Linked DNA regions of Diceros bicornis minor. The protein of the gene in region 3 purifies or fractionates together with the protein of the main gene of each other region. This does not show direct contact. Links are inferred from orthologs where the notes say so. Each region holds a gene or a part of one and is shown on either strand. Other genes may lie near its edges.

Region 1 (9,735 bases), on a different chromosome or scaffold from region 3:
GTCAACCTATGCTTGATAGGGACTCCAGAATCTTTTCTTCAGCACTGATAGTATTTAAATGATTCAGCCTTGGAAACACCTCAACTTTCTGTCAATCTTGCATCTCTCTCCAATTCATGTAGATATGTATGCCCTTCATTCAACATTAATTTAAACATATATTATTGAGCACTTATGTGCACTAAGTACTGTGCTAGGAACTGGGGCAATATAGACAAATGACATAGGATTTCCACTCTTGTGGGGTTTTTTCAGCTTATTGGATCTGAGAGAACAGACATGAGAACAAATAAGTGCCTTATTCTCATTTGTTTCAGGAGGCAATTTTTTGTGAGTTTTAATTAGTAAAGACAGATATATATATATATATTTTTACTTTTGTCTAAAACGAAAACTAGTATTGGCCCTTATACCACTAATGTCTGTAAATTTTAATTTGGTCTTGGAGACCGAGATTTGTTTTCCAGATGAAAGTTTGTGGGATCCCATTTTTCTTTGTATCAGTGAAGCTATGGAAATTTAAGGAATAGCAATAGCTATGATTAGTTATAGGATCACTTGAATGTTTTCCTGCCAATTTCTCCTATAAAGTAGGATTTGCTTTGGCTAAAAGCACTGACCTTGGGGAAGACCATTCTCCGATCCAGTTGAGTAATTAATCTGCTGAGTTCATTTGGGGCTGACATCTCCGGGCAGAAACTGGCATTTCATATCCTCAGCTGCCACTCAAGATTTGAGACACCGCCACAAGACCCCTTGGCTTCTGACGGGGATCAGGGAAATAGTCACCTAAATGCACACCGTGGAATTTATTTTTTTATTTTTTTTAAAGATTTTATTTATTTATTTATTTATTTATTTATTTTCCCCCCAAAGCCCCAGTAGATAGTTGTATGTCATGGTTGCACATCCTTCTAGTTGCTGTATGTGGGACGCAGCCTCAGCATGGCCGGAGAAGTGATGCGCTGGTGCGTGCCCGGGATCCGAACCCGGGCCACCAGCAGCGGAGCGCGCACACTTAACCGCTAAGCCACAGGGCCGGCCCTACACAGTGGAATTTAGGCTTAGCTTTGGGGAGAGGCCAATAATAGAAACCATATTTCAGTGCCATTCAGTCAGTCTACTCCTAGATCTCCCTGAAGCAGTCAACAGCTGCTGCTGCTCTTCCTGAACACCATTTTCCCCTTCTAGCTACACTGATCTCTTGCCTGCTTGTCTACTCTACCAAACCTCCCTTTCCTTCTCCTATATTTCCTATATCCAAGAATAGCTCATCATGCCTCAAGATACTGAGGTCATTGCTGATTCCTTGATCTATCATTCTTCTCTCATCTAAGCAGTTACTAGTCTTAGGAGCCAATGCCCATCTTTTCTGCATTCCACAGCCCCTGCCTCAGTTCTTATCTTCTCACTTTAGGGAACAGGCTCTGGTTTCTATTGTTTACCTGCCTCTATACTTGTTCTCTGTGCCTTGAACAGTCTTAGACCTCTAAAACATGAGAAATCTCCTCTTCCTCTTTACCTGACTAATCTTGTGATCTTCCTAGTCTTAGTTCGGCTATTGAGGTCTACCTGGAAGCCTTCCCTGACTACGCCTGCGCTGGGACAGGACTCACAGTCCCTCAGCTGTGAACTCACAACACTCTACTTGTCATACTGATCTTAATTGTTGGTTACTTGTCTCTCTTTCTTTATCCCTCAACTCCTCATACAGAATCTGGCCCATGGTAAATATGTACCAAAATGCCAATTGATGGGTTGGACTTGTTCTCCTCTCTCAGTCTTTGTCGATTCCAGTTCTTCCCTTGATTTTCAACTCCTTTTTGTATTTACCGATTTATATCCATAGCTTCCTTCAAAACATGTCTTTTAAAACATCTCTTTGGTCATAACCTTCTCCTACTTTCACTCATAACATTTATTCTTTATTCCTCTTGTCCTTATGGGAATGTATGCAATAAGTTTAACATTATAACAAAACCAACAAAAAGTTATACATGAACATAATAATTGCTTTCCTTAAAATAGTCACCTTGAGAAACTGCACATCTATTTTAATAATGTTGTCATAGCCACAGTCATTTCTTGAGCTGCTCTTTGAGGATGATTACCTTTACATTCTTCTGAACATATTTTAACAGTGTCAAATCTAATCTTTGCAAATGATTTTTAAAATTTGTGTATAGCTAAGTCACTATAAGCTATATTTAGTGAGTAAAGACAATGATCAAGCTGGTAACTCTATGGGTCAACAACTAAAAAAGTAATGTTATTATCTTTCTCTGAACATATTTGCACAAGGGAAATTCCAAAACTACTTTGACTAATTACGTTATTTTTGAAGAGTTTCTAGCATCCCAAGGTGTCTACTTTCAATAATGGTACTTGCTTAGCTGTTATAAAGTCCTTATTAAAATCCAGTGTTACAGCTTCACAGGCCTATGATCATACTGACTTGCACTTGTTTACTATTGTTTTACATTCTAGTGCAGCATCTATTATGTGATACACACTGGGAATGAATAAGGCCATGGTCCTTAGCCATAATGACCTCCTAATCTAGTTGAGAAGATAGAAATATAAACAGTCCTGTGTGAAAAATAGATATCAGTGTAAGATAAAGAAGCAGTACAGTGGAGAAACTGTCTGTGAGGGGTACGAATTTGCAAAGCCTTCTCAGGACTGAAGGATGAATGATGATTAGAAGCTCCCCAAGAGGAGGAGGGAGGGGGACTACAAGAGTTGTTCTAAGCCAAGGGAACAGAAGGTACAGAGACTGAAACAAGAAGACGTGTTTGGGATAATCTCAAGTCATTCAATACTGTTATTGTGTAAAGTTCACAGTGAGGGCAGAGAGGACAAGACATGGGGCCCAATGAAGTAAAGGCCTTGTATTTACCACTTTTTAGAAGTTTAGACTTTATCCTATAGGAGCCAGGGAGATGCTCTGTGGGTAGGATTTCCCTCCCCAACAGGACTGTAAACTCCCACATCTAATAAGGTTTGCCCCTCCCCCCATCCCTCCTCCCCACCCAGATTGTCTCAGATCCATCTCTTCCTTTCCACTCTGACATTACTTCAGGCCTTCATGACCCATGCCTGGACAATTTCACAAACTCATGGCTGGCCCTTGGACTCTAGCTCATCTTTTGCTCCTGACAATCAATTTTTCACAGGATTATCAGACCAACCTTCCTTTCCATCAAGTCACACTCCTGTTCAAAAACCTTCGATGGTTTTCTGTGACCTGAGAGATAACTGCCCCTCCCCCTTTTCAGTTTGTCCTTCAAAGTCCTGCATAATATGGTCCCAACACCCTTTCCGTCCTTGATTCCTGTCACTGCTCATAGTGCCAGAACTCATCTACTTATTCCCTAATCTGCACCTTTATTTTTACAGTGGCTCTCCCCTGGAATGCTACACCCACACAAACTTTTGTTGTTGTTTTTTATTTCAGCTCTTTTCTTACAAATGGCAAGCCCACCTGTACCCATGTCTGATCACATCTGCCACTGTCCTGCCTTGGAGGTAACCACTATTCTGGCTATATTCCATGACTATAAACTGTATGGTATGCATCCATAAATCATATATAGTATTGTTTTGAAAAAATTTAAGTATACATAAATGATATACTTTATATCTCCTCTGTAATTGGTTTTTCATTATCATTTTATTTTTAAGCTTCATGCCTATTGATATATATGAATATAATCTTTTCAGTTGCTATATTGCATTTCATTTTATAAATACACTGTATATTATTCATCAATTTCTCTATGGGTGGGCATTTAGGTTGTTTCCAATTTTTGGCTATTACAAAAAATGTTACAATGAATATCCTTAGCTGGTCTCCTTGTCCTATACAAATTTTGCTAACCTTTCAAGGTCCTGCTCTCATCCCAGCTCCTCCGTGAAAGCCTTCCCTGATTCCCCAGGCCCGCAGCAACCAAGCGTTGGTTCTCAAAAGTAGCTTGAGCATCATGCGTCTTTAGTATCATTCCATTGGGCCAAGCACAATGTTTCCCAAAGTGAGGCGCTTAAGAAATAGTCGCTAAACGAATGAATGAATGAATGAATCACCATTCATTCAATGAATCACCACAACCCAGTTGATGGCTCTGTTCATTTTAAATGGCTTTGGCGCCTTAGCCCCCATTTCCTTCTTTGACAGCACTGGTCCTTCTCTACTGCATTCCCCTAGCTAGCCCGAGAGTGTGTGGATGTGTGGGTGTGCGGGGGCGAGACCTATCTCACTGGATGAGGTCTGTCCCTCCTTGCAAGTTCACGATCTCGGCAATCCTAGTGTTTGAAGTTCAGAGTCCTAACACCCACCCCCTCCACCAGAGGCCGGCCCAGCGAGGCGCTCCAGCGCCAACTGAGTTAAGGCGCGTCCGGACCCACCGCGGGTTGGAGAAGGCTGGAAGGGGTATCTGAGGACCGTAGTAGATCCCTCCGCGCGTAGCTCGGGCCGGCGCTTCTTCCTGCGGGAAACCCCTGGGTGCCGAAGGCGTCGGGGCCCGGCCGCGGCGACAGGGGGGCGGGGTTTGCGGTGGGAGGAGGCGGCGGAGGCGGAAGGACACACGAGGCTGCTTCGCTGCACACCGAGAAAGTTTCAGCCAAACTTCGGGCGGCGGCTGAGGCGGCGGCCCGGGAGCGGCGGACTTGGGGTACAGGGAGTGGAGGCATTGAAGCCTGATCTTCCGGGCGCAGCGCGAGGCCGTGAGCCGCAGAAGCAAGAGGAGGGGAGGAGAAAGTGGGGGCTTCTCGGTCGGGACCCCCTCCCCATGTGGATCTGCCCAGGCGGCGGCGGCGGCGGAGGAGGCGACCGAGAAGATGCCCGCCCTGCGCCCCGCTCTGCTGTGGGCACTGCTGGCGCTCTGGCTGTGCCGCGCGGCCCCCGCGCGTGGTGAGTACCGGGCGGAGGGGTGCTGTCCCCTGCGCCCAGGCCCGCGCACCCCGCCCGCGCGCCCCGCTGCCCCCGCCCCGGCCCGGCCGGCCACCTGGGGCGACCGTTCCCCCCCCTTCCGTCCTCTTCTCTGCGATCAGGTCGGGCTCAGCGGTCGGCGCGGAGTGAGGCCACTTGGTTCCCTAGAGTTGCACATCGTTGGGGCCCCCTGCCCGGGCGCGCCCCCTCCCCGCGCTCCCCGCTGCCTCCGGCTCCCCTCGCTGGTGGCCCCACACATGCCTCCTCGGCCGGAGGGAGGCCGGGCAGCAAGTCTCAGAAACCCTCTTTCTCGAGCACTTGAGTTCGGGGAGTTGGGCAGTTTTGGCCCTTTGGTTCCGCGTTTCCTGGGGTTGAGGGAGAGCCGGGGGCGGGCTGCCCGAGACGAACCCTCGCCGGCCGCGCACCGCAGATGGGCTGAGCGAAGGAATGCCAGATTCCGGCGTGGAGCGAGCGGGGGCAGGGCCTCCAAGCCCAACGGCTTGCACCTTCACAGCCAGACTTCTCTTCGCCAAAGGGAGGCACACAGTCCGGGGGGGTGGCTTTGGTTTGGATGGGGACAGGGTTTTGCGGTGCCTCTGAATTCTGACACTCCGAATCCGTGGTCCCGATGAATCCGGTCTGTTTGGCTTGAGTCTTGGAAAGGTGGAGGCAGGAGCAGAAGGAAAACTGATGTGGCTGCATGCTGAGCCACATGATTTAAAAATCTCAACTGCTGTTATTCTTTCCGAGGCGCGGAGCTCGGGCGCTGTTTCGGATTCTGCGTCCAGCCCCAGGAATGTGGTGTGACGATCACCAACTCCTCCAACCTGGCAGCAGCATTTGCTGCTCTTTTGGCATGGTTGGGGGTGGGGCACGGGCGGGTGAGGAAAAGTGGATACGTTAATTCAAAGTGCTTCCTTAGAAAGCCTTTTTATGGTTGGATATTTGCAACAGTCTTTCTGAACACGGTTGGACCAAGGAAAGGAAATCGAATCATATTTTACCCATCCCACTCACACTCTTGGATTCCAAATTTCTTCAGGCTGTTTAGTGGGAAGAGCTTGGGCTTTGGAGCCCTGCTCTTTAATCCTGGGTTCCAGTCCAGCTATGCTGTATGAACTCACCAATAAAATGGGAATGAAATTACCCAGCTAATAGGATTAATTAAGAGAATGTATATTAAACCCATGGCAGTCAAAAGGTAGAAGGTCCTTTCAGGGCAGGGCTGTGTTTTATTTTTTCTGAACTCTGCTTCCAGTGGTGGCTTGTGCATGTTTGTTGAACTGAAAGGGGCCCCTTCTTTTCCTGGCCTAATCTGAAGGAAAATTTTTACCTTTATCAAAAAACTAGTACATGAGCTATGTCCCTTTGCAAAGAAAAGGTTAAGAAGATGATGAACTTTAGAAAGATTTGCTCTTTGTTCATTGTTAAGAGGCAGTCGACATGCCAATCACAGATGTTTAAAAGAGAACAAGGTTATTTATCACAGGGCTGGGTTGTTCAGCATCAACCAGATTCTTCTTGGAAGGTTCAAATTCCACACACCTCTAGGTCCCTAAGAATTTCAGAAGTGGACCAGGAGGCTGTGTGATGATGAATCAAAACTGTTGTTTCTAAAGCGTTTTGTTAAAAAACACATCCAATAGTGTTTTTTGCCTTTCCTTTTTCTTTGAGTGGAAGCTTTAGTATAAGTGTAGATTTAGGATAGAGAGAAATATAAACAACCAGCTAGTCTGAGGGTTGCAATGCTTGGTCTACAATCCTTCATTAACTTGTTTTAGTAAATAACTTAATCTTCATGGTCTGTAGTCTCCTCACCTATGAAATAGAGCTAAAGAAGTAACCTGCTTTAGAGAGTTGGAGGGAATAATATGATTGCAAAGTGATTTGCAAAATTAAGCGTTAAATGATAAGACTGATGGCAGAAATAGGATACTGTGACACACCGGGCTTCTCTCATTCTAGGACCTCAGTACGGAGAATGATATCCTCTTTTATACTTCTGCACTGATTAGGTATTGCTATTACTAGCTACCGTTCAGGTGGACAAGTTGAGTGTTAGTCAATTAGCTCAAAGGACAAGATTTAGATATTTTGATTTTTAGACAGGCATTCTTCAAATACTAAACTACTGCACTATAAGAGATTAAAAAATGTTTCTCGGTACAAATCTTAAATTTTTTCCGAGTCTAGCAGTGATGGCTTCTTGAATTTTCTCAATTTATTATCATTGTATTTTGCCAAGGTACAAATTATAACACACCCTTCCAGACTTTTGAGTGTTCCCGTATTTGGCTTGTGGCCAATTGTTAATTTAAACATCACTGAGTTCCTAAGGCAAGGAGCTGTCAACCCATCTGTCTGATTGTCTAAACAGCTATCCAAGACCACCCTTTGCTCCTTGTTTTCTTTTGCTTTGCAATGAGAAGTGACTCCCTGGTTTTGCTGCCTGCTAGATAATTTCTCAGCTGAATTCTTCACTTGCTTTTAAACAAATCACAAAGAGCAATTGTTTTTTCTTTCACATGGAGATTAAATGTACCCTAAAACTATTTTCCTTTTCTCTTTCTTTCTTCTTGTTATTCCTATATTATTATTCCTTTTTCGGGAGGGAGGAGGAAGGTGAGTGATTGTTTCTGGTCTCTCTTTTCTTTTTCCTGATGTTTGATTTAAAAATATTTACCCACATCTCCTTGACATCTCTCTGCACCAGTCCCACTCTACTGCCTCTTCTGTAGACTTCTTATGACATAGGGGAGTAACTTTTGGCTCACCTGAATTGTAGTTGCTGACTTCAGGACCTTTAGAAAATGTTTAAGTTCAGTGGGATATGCTTGGATGCTTCTGAGCAGCCTTATAATACATTTTAAAAATATCACACCCACAGAAATTCTATTTTGCCCACAAAATTTGCATTGATCTAGTTCCCACTCTCTGATGCAATTCCTAGTGGTCCTCCTCCTTACCCTGTCCCCTGTGACAGAGCAAAGCTCCATGTCCTGGCTGCTTCAGAATCAGCTGGGGTGACTCTTGGACTCAACACCCAGGGATTCTGATACAGTAGGTCTGAGAGTCTGCATTTTTCAAGATTTACAGGTTCTGATAGTACCTTGGTTGGAACCCACTGATAGTTCATTATTCTGCCTTCAGGTGTGTATATGGGGTCTTTCTTAATTTTAATAATTTCTGGAATGAACCTAACCTTATTCAGCCATTCCAATGTTTAACCCGCTGACTGGCAAAGATTTTTTAAATTGCTAACATAAAAGCTGTAGAGTGTAATGCCATTTCTTCTTGTTTATCTGGGCACAGTGGGTTCCAATTGTCTCTTTAGAAGGGCTTCATATATTTGAATGATACGATTATAAATTCTCCTTCCCTCTTTTCTCCTCTCTTATCTCTTTTTCCTCAAGCTTCATTTAAATATGTCATTTTGGACCGTTTGTCTGTTAGTCCTTAATGGTTTTGGAGTAAAAAATTCTAAGCCATGATTTGAATGAGAATAAAGTAAGAGATTTTACGTTATCCTTACATTGTGTTTACACTCGTTATTTAAGTGCTTCCTTTCTGGATATCTCTCTCTGATGCAACTTGAACTTTTCATTTTCTTCCCACTGTTTCCTGATTCCCCTCCTTTCTTCTTCCCTTTCTCTGTGTGTGTGAGTGTGTGTGTGAATGCCTTCAGACCAAAAGGTTTTCCTTTCTTCTACTTTTCTCTCTTTATTGGTCTACCATATGTATACTGATTTGGAAAGATCACTGTTTAGGGGCCTGAAGACCAGAATTCTCCTCCAGGTCTGTTATTAATTAGTCTTGTGATCTTGTGGGAGGGCAGTTTTGGTCCTCCATTTGCTCAGGTACCTTTTCCGTAGTCTCTGAGCCAATTACAGAGTTGAGACTAGAGTCTCTCTCTTCGGGTCCTCAGTCCAGTGCCTTGTCCAGTCTCCATACCACTTCTATCTCTTGCACAAATAAGCTCATGTACACACAAACACTCACAATATCCTCAGGTGCTTATTGTTAGTGTGCTTCTTGAGGAAAACAACTGTGTCTTTTAATTTATGTGTTTATTCTAATGCCCCCACTCCTATCCTTGTACCAAGCATGGTGCTTTGGCATCTAATAGGCAACTCAAAAAAAATTTGTTCATTTGAACAATTACTTTAGTCATTTTCTTATTCTGGACTACTATGGTACTCCAAGACAGTTTTTAAAAAAAAAAAATAGTATTTGCAAGAATCATTGCTTACCTTAAATTTGGGGAAAAACCAACTTTTTCCCTTCCCCAGCTGTTTTGTTTAAACTTGCCATTTTGAATTTCTTTGTGTGTGGTTTCTTCTTCTCTCTCTCTTTTTTTTTCTCATCACTTCTGCAATTCATAAAGGTCACTTTAACTTTGGAATTTAACCTCAAAGGCACTGGCACCCACCCCCTGCCTCTCACTTGAGTTGCTACTACTGCTTCCTGTATTACTATATTACTAGACCAGTGATTTCTATTATTTTGTTCAGAGTTGCCACACCTTATTGTAATTTGGTCATTTTGGGGTCTGTTGTAATAGTATTTTTTAAATTAAAGTTAACTAAGTTTATGTTTGTTTAGATGATTTTTTTTGAGATTCTTTTTCATTGTGAGCTGGATATTACAGACTTGTACTAGACTAAGAGGATATGTACATTTAGTAAAGTTTATTTGTTTTTTTTCCCCACCAAGAGAGTTCCCTGAAAACCACTACCATCAACAAAAACTCTAAAGGTGAGATATGATAAATAAATTTTTGAGAGAACCATACAGTGTGTGAGCTGTCT
Region 2 (9,735 bases), on a different chromosome or scaffold from region 3:
GGCAGGCAGCAGGGAGATACCTGTGAAATGTAGAGACGTCCTGGAAGTTGTTGAAACTGTGTTCTAGGTAGAAGGAGCCAGAGTAACCAAGGCTTCCAGAGAGGAATGCACAGGATATGTTTCAAGATCCTCCTACCCGCCAGGCTGACGGCCCATAGGGTCTGAGGGGGAAGAGGTGGGAAATCAGGCTGGCCAGAGAGGTACATGTGCTCCTAGGAGTTGCTCCGGGCTCTGCCAAATGTCCCTGTGTGTGATGAACATGAAATGGAGTAACGGTCTGTAGGCTTGAGGCCTCTTGTGGAAGGAGACCCTTGAACTCGGTGGGTTCCATTGATAGGGAAAAGCCATTGAGATGAAGGACTCAGAATCACTTTGCAAAAAAAATCACTTACCAGAGAGAAGCAGCCACTTTGGATGACCATAGTAAAAGTGATTAACTCTTTGGAAGTGTAGTATATGGTTGGGTTGTGGACTCTGGAGCCACGTTGCTTGGTTTTAAATCCTGGCTCCAAAGTTACTTAACCTCTTTGAGCCTCAGTTTTCTCATCTGTACAGTGGGGATAATAGTATCTAACATGAAGAGTAAATAAAACGAAGCATGTAAACTGTCTGGTATGTAACACACTTTCAATAACTTAGAACATTAGTCATAATGGTACTTTCTGGAGAGAAGGCAAAGGTCTTGATTACTTTATATGCTGATAAACGCTTCCTATTTCCTTCCGAGGGGACTTTAAATTCTGTTAAAATCTAAGACCCTCTCCTCATGCCTATTTCCTTACTCAAACAGAAATGAAAAAGATCAGATCTGAGCTCATACCATTTGATTGTAGTCTATTTAGTGTCTTTTTGCTTCTAGATGCTGAAAACATTACCAGAATGTAGCATACAAGTTCACAATTTGGACAGCCTCTTTCCTTTTATCCATTTTGCTTATTCTGCAACACAGTCCCCCCCACAGTTTAAGTGGAACAATATGTTTCCATGACCCACAGAAGTTGAGTTCAAATCCAAGGAGATGAACTGTTAAGAGGTGGATAGGACTGGCCTTGGGTGTAAACTACGGGGGGCCGGGGGGTGGGGTGGGCAATGTGGGAGATCTGCGCCTTGCACCTAGCAGGAGCACATTGTGAATATCTGCAGAAGGGAAGAAGAGAGGAAAGAAGTGGGGGAGGTGAGAAAGAAGGTAGGGGCTGAAAGGACAGGGAAGGAAAGATAGAGAAGGAAGGTGGGAGGAAGAAAGGGATCTTGTGAGGAATGAACCACAACTAACACTGACTGAGTGCCAAAGGATGGCAAGAAAGTTCCCTGGGAGAGGGCCCTTCATCCGGAGCCCTCCATCTTGGGTGCTTCTTGGCTATTTGGGGACTGGGCCCTGGGCTGGTATTCTATTTGGGGAGTTGCCTGCAGCAGAGCTGATTGTTCAGAGCCTTCTCAAGATCAGGGTGGGACAGATTGCCTTCTTTTCCTAGCAAGTGTGAAGCTCTTGCCATCCCAGAAGACCAAACAAACTTCAGTGCTTCTGAGGGCTTGGAATGGGATAGGGGAAGGCCTAGGCCCCTGGTGCCCGAGAGAAAGAAGGGAACCTTGAAAGGGTTTATGCTCTCTCCTAAGGGAGGCCAGTGCCCAGTTCGTGCACCACAGGGGAAAACAGGAGTCATCAGATTGGATTTGCTTGATCTATAGAGATGGCTAACCACCCCGCCCCACGCACACACCCGTACCCCGCCCCCTGATCAGCATATACCTCCTGGTCTTTACAGTGGAGAAAGCCTTTCCAGGTGGAGGGCCGATCCTCCACGTGGAATCCCGCTCTCACTTCATCTCACCTAGGCAGGGGCTTGACTTCTTTAGTAAGCCCTTCTCTCTTATCAGCAACCCCTCCCTACTGATTATTCCTAACCATGCTCTCATCTCTCAAATTAAAAAGAGAAAGGAATCGCCTCTTGTCTCTTGTCCTCGTTCCACTCCACTCCTATTCCCCTTTACAGGGAAATGTCTCAAAGCGATTGTCTACACTATGCTGTCTCTACTTCAACTCTAATTCCCTCTTCAAACCTGTTCCATCAAATCTTTCCCCTTCCCTCCACAGGCACCATCCAAGTGTACACCACCATCAGCTTTGATGGGGACTATTGGGAAAGCCTCCTAACTAGTCTCCCTGTTTCCATTCTCAGTTTCCTCTGGACCTTTCTCCACATGGTAGTGGAGGTGGTCTCTTAAAAATATAAATCAGGGGGCTGGCCCGGTGGCGCAACCAGTTAAGTGCGCGCGCTCCGCTTTGGCGGCCTGGAGGTCGCAGGTTGGGATCCCGGGCGCACCACGCACCGCTTGTCAAGCCATGCTGTGGCGGTGTCCCATATAAAGTAGAAGAAGATGGCCACAGAGGTTAACTAAGAGCCAGTCTTCCTCGGCAAAAAAGAGGAGGATCAGCATCGGATGTTAGCACAGGGCTGGTCTCCCTCACAAACAAAAAAAATATATATGTATATATATAAATCAGACCTGGAATACTACTTGGCAATAAAAATGAACAAACTATGGATACATGCAACAACTTCGATGAATCTCAAGGGAATTAAGCTGAGTGAAAAAAGCCAATCCCCAAAGGTTATATATTGTATGATTCATTTACACAACATTCTTGAAATGACAAAACTATAGAAATGGAGGACAGATTAATGGTGGCCAGTGGTGAGGGACTAGGGAGACTGAAGAGGTGGCTGTGGTTTCAAAAGAGCAACAGGATGGATCCTTGTAATGACGGAACTATTTTGTATCTTGACTGTGGTGGTGGATACACGAGCCTACACGGGTGATAAAATTGTATAGAATTAAACATACACACACACACATATGAGTACAAGTAAAACCAAGGAAATCTGAATAAGATTGGTAGATTTCACCACTGTCAATATTCTGGTTGTGATCTTGTACTAGTTTTGCTTTGGGGGAAACTGGGTAAGGGGTTCATAGGCTCTCTCTGTATTATTCCTTACAAATGCATGTGGATCTACAATTATCCCCCCAAAAAAAGAAATACAAAAGAAATATAAATCAGATCAAGTCATGCCCTGGGGTAAAGCCACTCATTCAATGGCCTCCCATTGATTTTGGAATAAAACGGTCTGCCCATTGACTGGGAGGCAGTCCATGATCCGGTCCCTGCCAACCTGTCCAGGCTTACATTATGCTACTCTCCCCAGCTCTCCTGGTGCCAATCACAATCACCACCTCTTAGTTCCAAGGCATCAAGACTTGCCCCCTCCTTCTGGCTTTCGTACATCTATCTATCTGCTCCCTCCTTCCGGAAGGCTTTTTTCTGGCTCTTCTTTATGGTTGCTTCTTTCATAACTTTCAGGGCTCAGCTTAAATGCCACCTCCTCTTTTCCTAACCACACAATTTGCACCCTTTTCTTTTCCTGCACAGGTCTTATCCCGAATGTGATTCTTTTCTCACTTCTTTATCGTCTGTCTCCCCCACTAGATTGCAAGCTCCTAGGGCAGGGCGGATAGTGTTCTGCAGGACTCTGCGCTGTATCCCCAGCGCCTGGCACAGTGCTTGGCACATAGCGAGGGCTCAGTAAACTGAATGTTGAGTGAATGAATGAGTAGCCACGTGCGGCTTTGCCATCGGTGCTTTTCTGAGTGATGTGACGTAAAGCCCTCTGGATAGCGGCGTTGGGCTTATGGATGGGACTCCTTTCGCTCCCTCCAGTTTGTTACTAAGGGGAAGGGTCGCCAGTGGGTCCTTCGGCGCCGCTTCAAACCACGGGGCTCCGCAGTCGGGGGCCAAAACCGGGTGCGCTTCGGGCCCGGGCCGCTTTGCAGGGAGTGCGCAGGTTGGCTGAGGCCCCCGGACAGGCCACCTTCGCTCGACTCTCTTTGTTGCTCCCACCTCGCCTGCCCTGGCCGCGGCTGCCTACAGTGACTCGTGACGCCCCGCCGGCCTCGAAGGCTGCGACGCGAGGGAGGGGGGCAGCGGGCGCCCACAGCCCGCCCTCCTCTCGGCCTCCAGGCGGGAGCCGGCCCTCCGGGGAAGCGCTCGCCACCGCCCGCTCGCAGCCAGCTTCCCCGCGCGCCCGCGCCTTGCAGGCAGCCGGGCCGCTCCCGTAGCGGGGGCACGTGGCCGCGCGGGGTGCGTGGCGCTCCCGCCCCGCGCCAGGCCGGCTCCCGCGCGCGCGGCCCGCAGCGCAGCCCCCGCGGGCAGAGCCCCGGCTGGCGCGCGCCCCGCCCCGCCCCGGGCCAGCCGCGCCCGCCCCCGCGCGCTCCCTCCCCCTGCCCGCCTCCCCCGCGCGCGCCCCTCCCCTCGCGCCCCTCCCGCGCCCTACATCCAGCGCCCGGCCGAGGGGGCTCAGTCCGCAGTCGCCGCCGCCGCCGCGCCTCGGCTTCGGTGCAGGCAGCGGCCGTCGCCGAGACAGCTGTGCGGGCGAGCATCCCCAGGCAGTAAGCCCGCTTTCTCTCCGCGTGTGCGTGCGTGTGTGCTCCCGCCCGCCGGGCCCGCGTCCCGGGGGAGCGGCTGCCCTCCTGTCCCGCCGCCGCCGCTCCCGGCTGGCCCCCGCCGCCCCAGCTGCCCGGCCTGCGGGGCTGGGTACCTGCGGCCTCGGGCCTCGGCCGCCTGGCCGGGGGTGGGGGCTTGGGGGCGCGCCCGGCTGCGGGCTGCGGGACGGCCGACCGTGGGGTCCCCTATGGTGCGTGCCTCGGCCTCCCCTGGGCTCTCGCCACTGGGGTGGCGGGCGATGGGGATGGGGAGCGACCGGGGAGGGAGAGGGAGAGGGGAGGGGTGGGGGGTCGGGAGTGAAAATGGGGCTCTCCATGTTTTCCTCTGCGGAATGGTGGGGAGTGGGGTGGGAGTGAAGGGGGGGCCCTTGGTTTTCTCACCAAGGATGGCGGGCAGTGGGGGTGGGGCGAGGCGGGGGCACCCCTTGGTTTTCTCAACAAGGAGAGCTAGCGGGGGTTGTGGGGAGTGAGTGAAGATGAAATGGGGGGCTCCCCTTGGTTTCTCATCAAGGATGGCGGGGACTGAGGAGGGAGTGAGGGAGGGACCTTCCTTGGTTCGCTCAACGAGGATGGCGGGGCTTGGGGATGAGAGGGAGCGGAGGTGAAGGGGCTCGTCCTGGTTTACTCGACGGGGATGCTGGGGGAGGGCGGTGGTTGGAGGAGTGGGGGTGGGGTGCAGAGAGAATGAGGAGGGAGGGGGAGGGCCTGCTGTGGTTCGTCTCTCGCAGAGGATGGTGAGGGGTTGGCGAATGGGGGTGGGGAGAGTGGGGGATTTCAGCTCCAGCGTGGAACCTAGAGAAGCAAGAGGAAGGTTCTATCACGTGGGTTGAGCCTTAGAAGGTGGATTTTCAAAACTGCAGGGTGTGACCTTTCCGTCTCAAAAATCACGAAATCCCTACAAGGTGCCGTCTGTTCTAGGCTTGGGAGAGAGGTTTCTGCTTTCGAAGTTTCTCTTTCTCTTCCGTTCCTCGCGGCCTCTTCCCAGTCGTCCAGGACTGGGTAGAGGTTTGAAAATCGGCAAGGGAGGACTGTGTGTGGCTCGTGTTCAGTGCTGTAATATTTTCTGCATTTGGGACTGTGCGAGTTTCTCAGGTTTGTTTTGATTGCCCTTTACAAAAAAACCCTGTACCGGGGAGACCCCTTGGGAAAAGAAGAGAACAATGTTTATTAAGGGGACTCCAGGTTTGGTTTTTGAATTTCCTGAAGGGCAAGAGATACGTCGTAGTAGCATTTTGCTTGGCTTCCAGAAGAGGTAGAAATAGAATAAATGTGTGTCTTTGCTGGAAGTCCCCTATATTCGTTTAAATTATTCCATCGGGATTATCTGAGCCCCCTTTGATTTGAATTTGGAATAGATCCAGTTTTCCTAATTGGAGCCATCATTTTGTAATTGCCTGTAATTCTTCCCTGGGTTATCAAATCTATGGCAAGTTTATAGAGCAGCAGGAATAATATTTTTGTTATCTTGATTAAGACAGTTTTAATGTAAATTTTATGTTGTTCCTTGGAAACGTGAACATTTGCAGAAAAGCCTAAATTTAAATTATGGGCCGCTTGGAATTTTCCAAAGGGTTTCCCTCCCCAGCTCACCTTCTCCAGGAACAGAACTCTCCAGGTTCTTTACACTGAAGAAGCAAGGGCTTCTGGGATGGTAGCTCTGCCTTTGGAAACTCATGCTCATATTTGCTTAAGAAGAACACATGTTAAAAAGGCATAGGTCTTTAATGTGGTGAGGCTATAAGTGCCTTCCCATTTTGGTTACATAAGGTTCTAATCTAGTCTTTATCTTCAGTCTTTAAAAATGCTTATTTAACATTTTTAAGAGCAAATAGAATCTTTATGCAACAGGAAATTGGTCAGATGGGCCATGATTTGTGCAAACCACGTCACAATAAGTATATAGTCTAAGCCTACCATATAGATTCTGTAACCATATATGGTTTTTGAAATTCTAAGCTACCATTTCCATATTGAGTTTTTGGAGAAGGAACGTGTTTTTTTCAACCAAGTCTAGATTTTTGAGTGAAACTTAAGCAAATTTGTGTAAGATTTAAATTGGTAAAATTCCTCTTGTATGATACCAGCTAATTGGAACTAATTTAATATGTATCAAACTCAATGGACCGTTTGAATAATTATTTGTTTACTGGAAATGCTAAACTGGAAATAGAGCTTTTTGGTCTCAAAGATTGACAAAAATGCATTTAAATAAACACTGTTGTATGCATCATTTCTAATGTTAATGTGATACTTGTTCTGTACACAGGCAGCAATCTAGAAATAGTACATACAGGGGCCCGTGGCATAGTGGTTAAGTGCATGCGCTCAGCTGCTGGCGGCCCGGGTTTGGATCCCGGGCGTGCAGCGATGCACTGCTTGTCAGGCCATGCTGTGGCGACATCCCGTATAAAGTGGAGGAAGATGGGCACAGATGTTAGCCCAGGGCCAGTCTTCCTCAGCAAAAAAAAAAAAGGAAGGTTGGCATGGATGTTAGCTCAGGGCTGATCTTCCTCACAAAAAATAAATAAATAAATAAAAATTAAAATAGTACATATAAAAATACAATTTGTCTGTTTTTCTCTTATGAGTAGAATGCTGAGAGTGGTAAAATCTTTTACAGAAAGAAGTGTGTTGATGGGTGGGGGCCCTTAAGCTTCTCCAGATGAAAGGAGTAAATGGAGTATCTTTCACCCAGGCTTTTGAGAACCTGTTGTTTGCTCTGTGGGACTGGAGGAAAAAAGATGAAGAAATTTCAGAAATTAACAAAAGTATGATCAAATATCTTTTGAAATATTCTTAAAGATTTTGCTGCTATCCATTAGAAAAGTCATTTGTAAGTCAAGCCTTTGTGTAGGAAATTGACCCTCGCCCTGAAAGTTTTGACGTTTTAAAATAATGCCAGTTTGTTGAAGGAATGGAAGCTAACCTTCTGAGCCTGCCTCCTGTGCTGGTGCTCCACCTCCGGGTTCCCTTCCCCACACCTCTCCCTTTTCCCCTTCTGGTGCCAGCATCTTTGGCTTTTATAACCTTGTGGGAGTTGAACAAATGTTCGTGCTCGCTTGAACTTGAGGCCTTATCTATTTGGCTGCTTTCCTCAACTTTTGCCTACAAAATTTTTTTGGTTAATTGAACTTTCCAGTTGTTTGCATTTGGGGTAAAAGAGAGTGGACTGTAATTATTTTCTCTTAAAAGATCTTTTCTTTTAGCTGCTGTTGGATGAGAGCAAAGAAAGGTTCTTTTTTTTTTTTGTCACCAGAGTACTTAATTAAGCAGAGTGTATGACCATTCATTTATTCAACAAACATTTACTGAGTGACCGCCTCTGTTGGAGGCTCCGTGTTAGGTGCAGGATATACAGTGGGTGAGAAATGGCTCCTGCCTTCTGGTGCAGTTATTAAAATGAAAAATAGACAGTGGATTTGTTGTGAATAATCAAGAGTTGTCCAGAGTCTTGTGGCCATTAACGTATCACTTTATATACATCACACATGCTTCACCCCCGCAAACAGTGGAGTCATTTCTTTCCAGGGAATTATTCACTGCGTAAATTCTCTCTCACCTTCCCAACTAAGACAAACTTCTTCATTTGGGGTAATAACATGGTTTATAAGTCATTTTAAAGTCTATGGCCAGGCCGGCCCCGTGGCTTAGCAGTTAAGTGTGCGCGCTCCGCTACTGGAGGCCCGGGTTCGGATCCCAGGCGCACACCAACGCACCGCTTCTCCCGCCATGCTGAGGCCACATCCCACATACAGCAACTAGAAGGATGTGCAGCTATGACATACAACTATCTACTGGGGTTTTGGGGAAAAAAAAGAGGAGGACTGGCAATAGATGTTAGCTCAGAGCTGGTCTTCCTCAGCAAAAAGAGGAGGATTAGCATGGATGTTAGCTTAGGGCTGATCTTCCTCACAAAAAAAAAAAAAGTCTATGGCCTTTTTTAAAAAGATAAGTTTTATGTAGAGTAAATAGGACAGCAGATTTCTTGATATTTGAGTTCAGCATTTTGTATTATGGCATAGAGTCATGAGAGGAAGACGACCAGGCCAGCATTCCTTCCTATGACTTAAAGCATCTTCTGACAGCAAATTGGGCCAAAAAAATTACTTTTCTATGTTCAACTTTGAATTATGGATAATAATGGGCGGTGGAGCCCAGAAGAGGAGATAATACTAAAGAGTAGCTGGAATAAACCTTTGCCCCCGTGAGGGCTACCTCCTGAGATCTTTGAGAATTCCCCTGTTTGTGGAGAGTGCTAGACCACTGGTTTTTAACTGGGGCAACTTTGCCCCCCAGAGGACATTGAACAATGTCCGGAGACATTTTTGGCTGTCACAACTTGGGGCAAGGCACACTACTGGTGTCTACTGGGTAGGGGCCAGGAATGCTGCTTAATGAAACATTCCACAATGCACGGGGTAGCCCCCCCACAACAAAGAATGATCTGACCCGAAGTGTCAGTGGTGCTGAGGCTGATGTAATTTCCTCTACAAAATGCAGTAAAATGTAACTTCAGGAGAGTAGAGAACAATAACAGTGTCTTGATGTGACTAAGTTGGCTGGACTCCCTTCACTTGCCTTAAAAGTGACCAGTTCCCATATATGGACCTGAATAATTAAATGACCAATAACAACTGCCATTTATGGTATTTACTCTGTGCCAGGCATTTGTATACATTGTAAATTCTCTTCCTTGTGTAAATGAAGAACCAGGCTCAGAGAGGTAAAGTAACTTGCCCTAGTTCTCACAACTGGTCAGGGTTGAAAGTAGACATCAAAATTAAGATCGTCTTACTCCTCAGAAGTCTGTGGTTTTGAGCACAACGTCATACTGTCCCTTGTGGCATGCTGCATTCAAAATCTTGCTTAACAAAATTAAAATTGCTACATGTCCTATATACCATTGAGCTTGCTTGAGAGTAATTAAAACGATGAACGTTAAATTTGATCATACTTGGAGTAAGCGGCCAGGAGTAGGGGGAAAAAGGGAACCGACATTACTTGAAGGCCTACTATAGTTCTAGAAAATACACTAGTTGAATTGACATCCATTATGTAATTAGATTCTCACAACAACTCTGCAAAGTAAGTATGGTGTGCTTTTCACAGATGAGGTTAGTTAAGTAGCTTGTGTGAGATTGCACAATTAATAAGCAACAGAGCTGAGGTTTGAACTTAGTCCCACGACTAAGCCACTGTCCCTTGCTGCTTGCTCTAAAGCTTGGGGATTGCGGA
Region 3 (9,735 bases):
AAGTAAAGGAAACCTTTCAAGTAAATGTAGGCTCATCTACCGGTCTAACTCAGGAATAGATGTTTTGCAGAAAGTCAACACACATGGTCGTTCTATAGGCTCTTTTCTCCTCCCTAGGCAAGCTGGCACTGGGCTATTCAATATTGTTTTGAACCCTAGAAGACTTAGTGAGCCTTCAGAATCATTTCTACTCTGCTCTAAAGTGGAAGACATCCTATTCATCCTACAAATACTTATGGAATGCCTATCATGCACCAGGCATTGCTCTCATGGCTGTGGCTTGAACAATGAATAAAATAGACAAAAGTGCCTGCCCTCATTAAGATTACATTATAATGGGAGGAGCCAGAGAGTAGACACAATACACAGGTATGATATATGGTATGTTAGTTTATGATAAGCGTCGTGGGAAAAATAAAGGAGGGAATAGGGAGTATGAGGAGTCACTTTTGTGAAGGGTGGTCAGGGAAGGCCTCACTAAGAAGGTGACGTTTAAGCAAAGACCTGAAAGCAGTGAAGGAAAGAGCCATGAGGCATCTGAGGGACAGAGCAAAGGCAGGCATTGTGAGCGTGCCTGGTATGTCCTAGCAACAGCAAGGAAGGCTGTGGTTAGAGCTCAGTGAACAAGGGGAAGGGGGGAAGAGGTGAGGTCAGGGAGTTCAGGGGGTTTGGGTAGCAGGCTAGATTGTGTAGGTCCTCACAGTGAAATGGGAAAACCACAGAAGAGTTCTGGTGGGTTCTGTGAATGCTCTATTGAGAACAGACTGCGGGAAGGCAAGAACAGAAGAAGCGAGAACCAGTTAGGAAACTGGCTGTAAACCAGATGAAAAATGAGATGAGTTAGACTGGGCTCGTAGCCATAGAGGTGTGGCAGTGTTTGGACTATGGGTCTATTTTGAAGGTGGAGCCAGCATGATTTTTCTAGTTTGGATGTTGGAGGTGAGAGGGAAAGGAGGCAAGAATGACTCCAAGGTTCTCGGCTTAAATAAGTGAAAGGACGGAGGTGTCTTTTACTGGGATAGGAAAGACTGCAGGCAGAGCATGTTTTAGGGTGAAGATGAGTTGTGATCTGACTTGTGGTTACCATGGCTTTCCATGGCTCGGGCTCTCAGATGGCCATGGCTCCAAATTAGATTAATGGCCTAGACAAGACCATGACTGAAATGCCTTCCTGGGTTTGAAGACTCCAAGGAATGTGTGCCCATGGCCATTGTTCCCCTCCTGAGCTATCTTGTTCCAAATCAGACTTGCACTGAGATATTGTATCAAATGTTCTTACATCTTTTCTTTTTCTGTGTGAAATATTTAATCAAAGGGATAGACAGATGCACACACACAACCAACAACCTTGAAAACAACTAAAAAACTTGATTTCTTGTTCACTATATAACCAGTAGCACATGGGCCCCTATTAAAGGACTCAAATATTAAAATTCAATTCAATTCTACATTTGTGGGTCTGTGATGGCACCAGACACCGGTTTCTAGACAATGCCAGGCCAGGCTGGTCCAGAAACCACACTAGGGGAATCTGAAATGTGCCTGGTTGAAGAATGTAACCAGGAATTCACTAGACAAATAAATAATTCAAGAAGAAAGGATGCACTTAAAACAGCTAGCACTAAAGCTTCAGATGAAACGATACCTAAAATGGAATGAATACTTCAACAAACACATAGAAAGGTGAAAAGCAAAACCAGTATTTTAAGTCTTATCATTAGCAGGAAAGAAAAAAACAACCAAGAACAGACAGTGATATATAGGGATTACTTCAAAAGGCTAAGAATGGCCGGCCCAATGGCATAGTGGTTAAGTGCGTGCGCTCCTCTACTGGTGGCCCACGGCCCGGATCGGGGGCGCGCACCCACAACTGCTTCTCCGACCAGGCTGAGGCCAAGTCCCACATACAGCAACTAGAATGTGCCACTATAACATACAACTATCTACCGGGAGTTTGGGGGGGGGGGGAAGGAGGAGGATTGGCAATAGATGTTAGCTCATTGCCGGTCTTCCTCAGCAAAAAGAGGAGGATTAGCATGGATGTTAGTTCAGGGCTGATCTTCCTCACCAAAAAAAAAAAAAAAAAAAAGGCTAGGAAGAGATTAGAGGGAAGAAATAAAAAAAAATTGTGTCCTTGAATGGGAGGCAGAATCTCTACAAGGCAACAATGAGAGAGCGCAAAGAGCAGCATTTTTCTTCTCGAACTCGCGAGGCCAGCGGGTAAATCAGAAAGAAAACAATTGCTAAAAGAGAGTAGCTAAGGGAATCTGAACTTGTTTTAAAGCAAGTAAAGCGGTAGCCAGACTAGGTGACTCAGAGGAATGACTCAAACCCGACACCGGGGGCCGTCAGCTCCCGGAGGCCGGGGGCGCGGCGTCTAACACATTTTAGGAAAGTACCAGGCTCGTGGAGGGCGACAAGAAACCTCCCCGGGGGATCGGCCTGGGGCTCCTCCTGCCCTAGAGTGTGACCTCTTACCATCCGCGCCAGGAGGAGTTTCTAATCTCCTGGCTTCCCCTTCTTCCTTTAGAAGCTCCCCCACCCATTTTTCTTCCACCAAGCGTCACCGGGCGTGTGTGTGCGAGACATCGGGCCCCCTCCCAGCCACCCTCCGCCCCGCGCTCCCCGCCCCGCGCCCACCCGCCCCGCCTCCACGGCGAGCCGCTCTCTTCCCACCCCGCCCCCGTCCGCCGCCCGCCGCCCGCCGCCCGCCGCCCGCCGCCCGGGCACGCGCGGCACGAACAGCGCCCGGAGCTGCACTAGACAAACACCTGTCCCGCCTGGGCTCCGCGAGATTTCGGGCGAAAGCATAGGCAACAGTGTGCGCGTTCTCGCGAGGTTTAGGAAATTTCCCACGGCCCGTGTTGTGTCTGAACCGAGTAGTGGAAGGCGGTGGGAAGGAGAGGTAGCGTGAGACTGGGCTGCCCGCATTGAGCACATGCGCAGTGCCGCTCACGCGTGCCGCGCTGATCCTGCAGCGCCTTCAGCAGGTTTCCGGCAGCGGATTCCAGTTCTCCGGGTTTTGGGGCTCCCTGCGGGAGGCAGTGCAGAATCTGGGAATCTCTAGGAATTGAAAGGGCAAAGTGGGGGCGGGAGGAGAAAGGGGTGCCGCAGGTAGAAAGGAGGGGGCCAGGTTCGGGCCCTGCACCTTTCTATTAAATGCCCAAAGGGCCAAGTTTGCTCTGGGGCTTCCAAGATGAAGATTTTCCCAGGTCGCCTGAAGTACGTTTCGGCAGCGAGCATCATCATCAACTGTGCCAGGCCTACGGAAGGACCTGGGCAGAGTCTGTCCCCATATACACCTGGGTTCACACAGGGCTACGGGCTGCGATGAGGTCCTAGGGAGGCTCCCAAAGCTGGCAGCTCTCTGCCCAAATGGGATCTCTGGCTTGAGTGCGGGGTCGGGGAGTGGTGGCTCTCAATTCCAACGCGGTTTTCACTTCTGGAGAAAACTACGTGCGCGCTCTGGCGTGTATATGCGAGGTGGACATTAGAGGTGTCTGGCAGAGGCCTTGGCCTGACCTCATTTCACACCCAAGGAGAAGAAAGCTAAGGGCGACAGAGCTCAACTGCAAAAGTTTTTGGTTTACAGAGCTCTGGAGGGTCGGACCACGTTGTAATCTTGTCTGACTCTCCGCTAGCATGAGGGTCAAGTGAACTTAGATAGTTCCTGGTTTATCCCTCGCCCGAACTCCAGACATCTCTGTAGCTCCAGCACCCAACGCTGAGATTAGCATAAAGGGAGCGTCCAATGAACGTCTGAATGAATGAAAAGGGCTGGGAACCAGAGTGAGCGGGAAGCCACTTGGAAAACACCCATTTGAGGAGGTGTTTCATCTAGGCCTGTGAAACGCGGCAGATTTTCCCAGGACCCCTCCTCCCTTCCCCTCGGCCCCGCCTCCTGACCCCTCCATTCCCCGTCCCCGTTGTAATCCCCTCCGGTTTTCCTCAGTCTCCACGTACGTCCCTCAGGGCGCGTCCCAAAACCCGGATAACCGGAGCGCTCCCCATGGACCACACGGAGGGCTCGCCCGCGGAGGAGCCGCCTGCGCATGCTCCATCGCTTGGGTAGGTTTCCAGGGAAGGCAGCGAGCAGGATCCCCTACTCCGCGTGCGGCGCGAGGCGCCTGGCTTTTCGCGGCAGCTGCGAGGAGAAAAGGAGCGCGGGGGCTGGGTGGAATCGAGGAGTGAGGAAAAAGGAAAGGGGCGGGGGAGAGGGACCAGGGAAGGCGTCCGGGGGAATCTCGCGAGGGTTGGAGTTTTGGCGAGAGTTTGTGGAAGATGGCGCCTGTTGTGACAGGGTAAGTCTGGGGGAATCCGAGCGCTAGGAACCGTGAAAGTTGCGGGCGTCTCGCAGCCCGCGGCGGGCGGCGGGTTCGGGGGCCCCGGCGCGCTTGGCCTCCGGGGGCCGCGGGGGCGGCGGCGCGCGCGCCGAGCGCGGCGGCGTGTGGTTGTGCGCTGCTCGCCGTGCGCCGCCGTGGCTCGGGCTCCGGCGCGTGAGGGCGGGCGGCGGCGAGGCCGGCGGGTGCGGGCTTGAGTGCGGCCGGGCGCGCGGGGCCCGCGGGCGCCGTGCCCGCCGCGCGCCTCCCGCTCTCCGCCCGCGGGCCCTGCCTCCCGGCCCCGCGAAGCTTTGTTCTTGGCGGCCGTCGTCGCCTCCTCGGCGAGCCAGTGCCCCCGTCCCCGGGCGCTTTGTTTTTCCCCGCTGCCCCCCGCGACTCTCTACCCCCGGCCCTTTGTTTCGCCGCCTTGGGCTCTTTGTCCGAGCCGTCGCGCCCCGCATCCCTTCTCTATCTCCTCCCTTTAGCTGTCCTTCCTCCCGTGCCCCTTTGTTGTGCCCCTCTCTAGTCGGTAGCTCAGTGACCTGCCACAACCCAGGCACCAGATTTCTGTCTTCATTTTTCTTTTATTATTTTTCTCACGTGTTTTCCTTTCACCTCTCTGTTTGGTCCTTGAGCACCCCCAGAGGCTTTGTCTCCCCCATCCAGTGGCTTGTTCCCTTGGCACCCCTCTTCCCCTCCCATCATCGGTTGATTTATCCACTACCCACGGTGTATGTCGGCTGAACTGTCTCAGCCCCGGGGACTCCATCTGGTTCTTCTACGTGCAGACAGGCACTACGGTTTGTTGTTGTTTTTGTGGGTCTGAGAGATGCAGGGGGATACTTAGTTTCCTCCTCGGCGCTCCTCCTCTCCGCACCCTTTTCTCTCGGGATTACAGTGTCTCCAGTTTTCTTCGCGGTCGCTTTGGGCCCGTGATTGTTTTGCTTGGAAACAGTAGCCTTGAAAAAAGATCTGGTCTCTTGGTTATTGTGCCCCAATCCCCCCCCCCCTTTGGTTTCTGACGGCCTAGGCCAAGGGCAGCTGCCGCAGCTTTGCATCTGGGTTACCTGAGGGTATTGTAGGATGATTAGAAGAGGCGCGAGGTATTTTTTTCTGTTGGTGTGAGAATAGTTTCAGATATCCATATTGGATATTCATTTGATATGTGAGTAGCAGTTAAGTGAATTTTGATGTTAAAAACTTGTGAATGTTAGGGTGGAGAATTTCAACGTTTTCTAGACTCTAAGTCTAGAGTTTAGTTACTGTATTTTACCAGCAACTCCTGCTTCGGAAGGAAAAAGGGCGGCATCCTGCTTGGGAATTTGATATAAATGTTTTACTTTTTCTTAGTCATTAGTTTACAATTATATGCTTTTGCTCTGTAAATTTATGACAATCTTTCTGCCTCATCTTTGGAACTGAAATGAGGAAAGCGCTTAAGAGGGCAGTTTCTGGTTGATGAATACTGCTTCTAGAATCTTTGTGGAATGCTTTAAGCAGACGCAATTGAAGACATTTAAGTAATAGCCTTAAGTAAGGTAAAGGCACTTCTAATGTCAAAGGAACTTTAAATTGTTCAGAGTTCTTATTGTTATGGTAATTTAAAAGCTTGGGGTTGTGTGTGGGGGTGGGGGGAGAGTGGTGTGGTGTATTTAAGCGACCTGAATATTCTGGTGCAGGGAATAAGAGGTATTTGATTTACCAGGATTACTAGACTGAATATATTGTTCACGAATTCTCCCCTCCTCCACTAGTTGATCACTACTTTTAGAATATAGGTTACCCATAAAATCCTTTGGAGTGTCATTTCATTTATAAAGCTCCACGTAAAATGCTACTAGTAGAGGATATACAAGATTTAGTGTGAGGGACGTTGATGGAAAGCATTTTTTTTTTTTTTGAAGTCTGACTAGAATTAGTAGTTTGAATTTTAATTAATGGAAAAATCATGTTTCATGATTGATATATGAAGTTTTTGTGAAAATTTGCAGTTTGGGTTTGATGAGTGGATTTTGCCAATAATCATTTGTCTCCCTTGTTCTTAGTGCATAATCATTCTTTTGAAGGGAAAATCGTGTTGATTCTGACTGTAAGCAAAGTGTAAATACCGTGTAATAAGGGAAGATATTTTGCTCTGGCTTGTGTATATAAGAATGATCGCACAAACACCATAAATGCAACTTGTACAATTCTAGTTGTATTTTTTGTTTGTAAATTGTATATGACCTTTATTTCATGACCAAATAAAACAAAGCCTTTACTAAATTATATCAAACAGCAACATATTTAGATACATACTAGATGAGTGGTGGTTGGGAAACTTTCATTCTGATTATTGACTATTAAAGTTTTAAATTTATTGTCCATGTGTATTGCAGATGGGTCTATGGAGAGTATATTTTCAGGAAAAAATGTGACACTCACTTGCAGTATTTTCAGATCTATTCTAATATATGCTTCTAGATATTAGGTTTTAAGCAGCTAGTTTGTTAAAAAGTTATGTATTATCCTATAGCCGCAGATTTCTATTAATGTCTTTTAAGTGTGTAAGATAAAAAAAATGGTTTGGGGGGGAAGCCACACTTGCCAGCTGTAATTCATTAAATAATCTTTGGCACTCTGGATAAGGTATTAGGGGAAAAAATGTGTTTGCAAGTTCTTACAAATCTTAATTCTAGTATTTAATCATTTTTAAAAATAAATTTGAAAACCTGAAACTTGGCTTTAAAGCATTATTTTGCATTTTGCTTCCTTCTAATACTAAATTTCATGTTATTTCAACTAGGGGCAGTATTTTCTCATGGATTGACTAAAAGTTGTTATTTTTGGCATTTGGCTTTGTGATTATTTCCAAGTTACTCTACTTCCCCTGGGCCAATTTCCTAACTATGTAGTAAAATGGGAATTGTTAATAACTTGCCACATCTGCACAGGATTGGTGTGCCTTAGGATTTGCAGAGAGCATCCTTGAATGAAAGGTGTGGTTAAAGTCTAGGAATTGTTACTGAAATAAGCTGATGTGAAGTAGGTCATATTTTATAGGAAGTCAAGTAGGAGGTTATGAACTAAGTTCTTGGAAAGTCATAGTGGGATGAAAAAAACCCAAATATGTATTATAGTTTGAGTAATAAAACAGATACATTTCCCACCTATAAGAGGGAGAGGGATAAGTAAACAAATTACAGAGTGGTATTTGTGTGTGAATGTGTGCACGCTTGTGCATGTGTGTGTTGTGTAAGAGATTGAAGATATGTCAAAGTCAAATGAAATAACACGTTGTAAAATTATGGGATGCTTTTCCTCTATTGATTTGTTTTCTGCATGTAGTAGTTGTTTTAAAAAATAGTGGCACAAACTGTTTTCGCTAGATTTTAGGCCAAGTCTGTTAATAGTAATGACTAGTTATAAATATGCCTTATATTATTTAACACTTTGCCAGTTACTCTCAGAAATATTTTCTAAAAACCAGGACTATAAATTCAGACTTGACCCTTGGCCTAGGGAAGTCTTTTGCATTTGGGGGACACTCGATAGATATTTATTGAACAAACGAAACCTGTTGCTTCTCTATTCCTGGCAGATGATATCATGTCCCAACTAGCTTCTCACTGCAGGTTTCTGAATTCCTTTCTCAAACTAACCCTTTACCTTTAAACAGTAAGAACTGGTAATTTTCCCTCCTGGAATATCTCTTGAATCTGTCTGTCTCATCCTCACTGCCACAGTTCCTGCTATCATCATTTCTCACCTGGATTACTGCAGGCATTGACAGCTCCTCCTTCCTCTTTCTGGTTCTAGACTCACCCCCTTTGTCCAGCTTCCACAGTCTTTCTAAAGAGTAAATCTGATCATTTCACTCCTTAATTTAAAAACCTTTCAATGGCTCCCCCTAGCAGCCTTCATTAAGAGAGGCAATGGAGTGGAGAGTTTATGAGCTCGCAATTAGGATTTAATCTGAATTGGATTCCAGTTCTGTTTCTGCTACTTAAAACCTGTAACATTGACAAGTGATCCAACCTCTCCTTCCCTCTTCCATCAATTGCAAGATTATTCTTAGCTCAATGGGTTGTTGTGAGGATTAAATGCAAGAAAACATTTAGTAGGATATCAGGCACATAGCAAGTGCTCAAAAAATGTGGGGCTGGCCTGGTGGTGTAGCGGTTAAGTTCTCGTGCTCTGCTGTGGCTCCCCGGGGTTCGCAGGTTTGGATCCCAGGCGTGGACCTATGCACCGCTCATCAAGCCATACTGTGGCAGCGTCCCACATACAAAAGAGAGGAAGATGGGCACAAGTGTTAGCTCAGGGCTAATCTTCCTCATCAAAAAAAAAAAAAAAAAAGAGCTGGCGTGGCATATAGCTTCGTAACTACTTCATTTACTTTTTCTCCAGCTGAACTGTTTGCCTTTCTTTCCTTTCGTTTTCAGTGCTCCAGCCATATTTAAGAACTTGGAATTCCCTGTGTGGGCTCAGCAGTTTAATGCCTCCCTGTGCATGAAAAGTGCTGGTGTTAGTGCGTTATTATTCCAGACTTGGGTCTGAGGATATTCTAACTGGATCCACCAAGCTGAGTTCAGTGCCCCTCCTGTGTGTTCTTAAAGGACCCAGTATAATTTTCTTGGACGTGTCATACTGAATTGTAATTGTCGGTCACACCCAAAGGCATTTAGTTACTTGGTGGCAGATATTGTTTTCTTCTTAATCATTTATATATTCTTATACTCAAAAGGTTTTTTGAACCAAGGACTCAGAGTACTTTGAGACCTTCATGCAACATGATTCATGTAGGCAGAATTTGTTTATGTGTGTGTGTGTATGTGTGTGTGTGTGTATATATATATATAATTTTGATTCTGTAGGAAATTTAATTGCTGAAGTACCCAAAGGAATTGCTATTTTCAGCTACAGGCAGTCTCTTAGACCCTGAGAACATTGTAGTAAGACTCTTAGGCAGTAGTTCCTTTTGGATTATTAGAAAATACTATATTGTTTGTACAAAACTGACAAGCTTAAATTTCACGTTTTGGGTTTTGTATGGTTGACTGTCAAATGTTTCTCAAAAGGTTCCATTATTTTTAAGTGATTTAAGTACTACTTAGATGCGTAGGCATGTACTTAAATCTTAAGACACTATAGATTGCTTTCTTTTGGGATACACAACATTGAACCAAATAATGAGTTGATAATCTTCAGGGAGACTGAGGTCTTGTGGACAGATACTTATAGATAATTTCTCTATCTGAGAGGTAGAAGCTTCAGGTTCTACCTCTATCAAATAAGGAGTGATCATTTTGTTGCGTTTATCTGCCAGGCACATTGTCACTATCAAGTAAGGTAAAATATGTGAAATTATAAAGGTCAAATAAAACAATGTATATGTAAGTGAGTTGTAACTAGTAAAGCACTCTATACAAATATT

The links.
Region 1: the proteins of RBPJ (region 3) and NOTCH2 purify together in Homo sapiens (affinity purification with mass spectrometry; 3 studies listed by BioGRID and IntAct, counting the BioPlex papers as one, with this or other methods). This does not show direct contact. The link is inferred for Diceros bicornis minor from reciprocal best matches to the Homo sapiens genes RBPJ and NOTCH2.
Region 2: the proteins of RBPJ (region 3) and FHL1 purify together in Homo sapiens (affinity purification with western blotting; 4 studies listed by BioGRID and IntAct, with this or other methods). This does not show direct contact. The link is inferred for Diceros bicornis minor from reciprocal best matches to the Homo sapiens genes RBPJ and FHL1.

The regions. Positions count from the first base shown.
Region 1 is NC_080743.1:51,965,719-51,975,453, reverse strand, and holds the start of NOTCH2 (neurogenic locus notch homolog protein 2), read left to right. Parts: upstream 1-4,608; 5' UTR 4,609-4,836; coding exon 4,837-4,909; intron 4,910-9,735. UniProt on the Homo sapiens protein: Functions as a receptor for membrane-bound ligands Jagged-1 (JAG1), Jagged-2 (JAG2) and Delta-1 (DLL1) to regulate cell-fate determination.
Region 2 is NC_080781.1:123,825,559-123,835,293, forward strand, and holds the start of FHL1 (four and a half LIM domains protein 1), read left to right. Parts: upstream 1-4,360; 5' UTR 4,361-4,446; intron 4,447-9,735.
Region 3 is NC_080747.1:21,260,001-21,269,735, forward strand, and holds the start of RBPJ (recombining binding protein suppressor of hairless), read left to right. Parts: upstream 1-3,973; 5' UTR 3,974-4,009; coding exon 4,010-4,068; intron 4,069-4,229; exon of another isoform or gene 4,230-4,281; coding exon of another isoform or gene 4,282-4,301; intron 4,302-9,735. UniProt on the Homo sapiens protein: Transcriptional regulator that plays a central role in Notch signaling, a signaling pathway involved in cell-cell communication that regulates a broad spectrum of cell-fate determinations.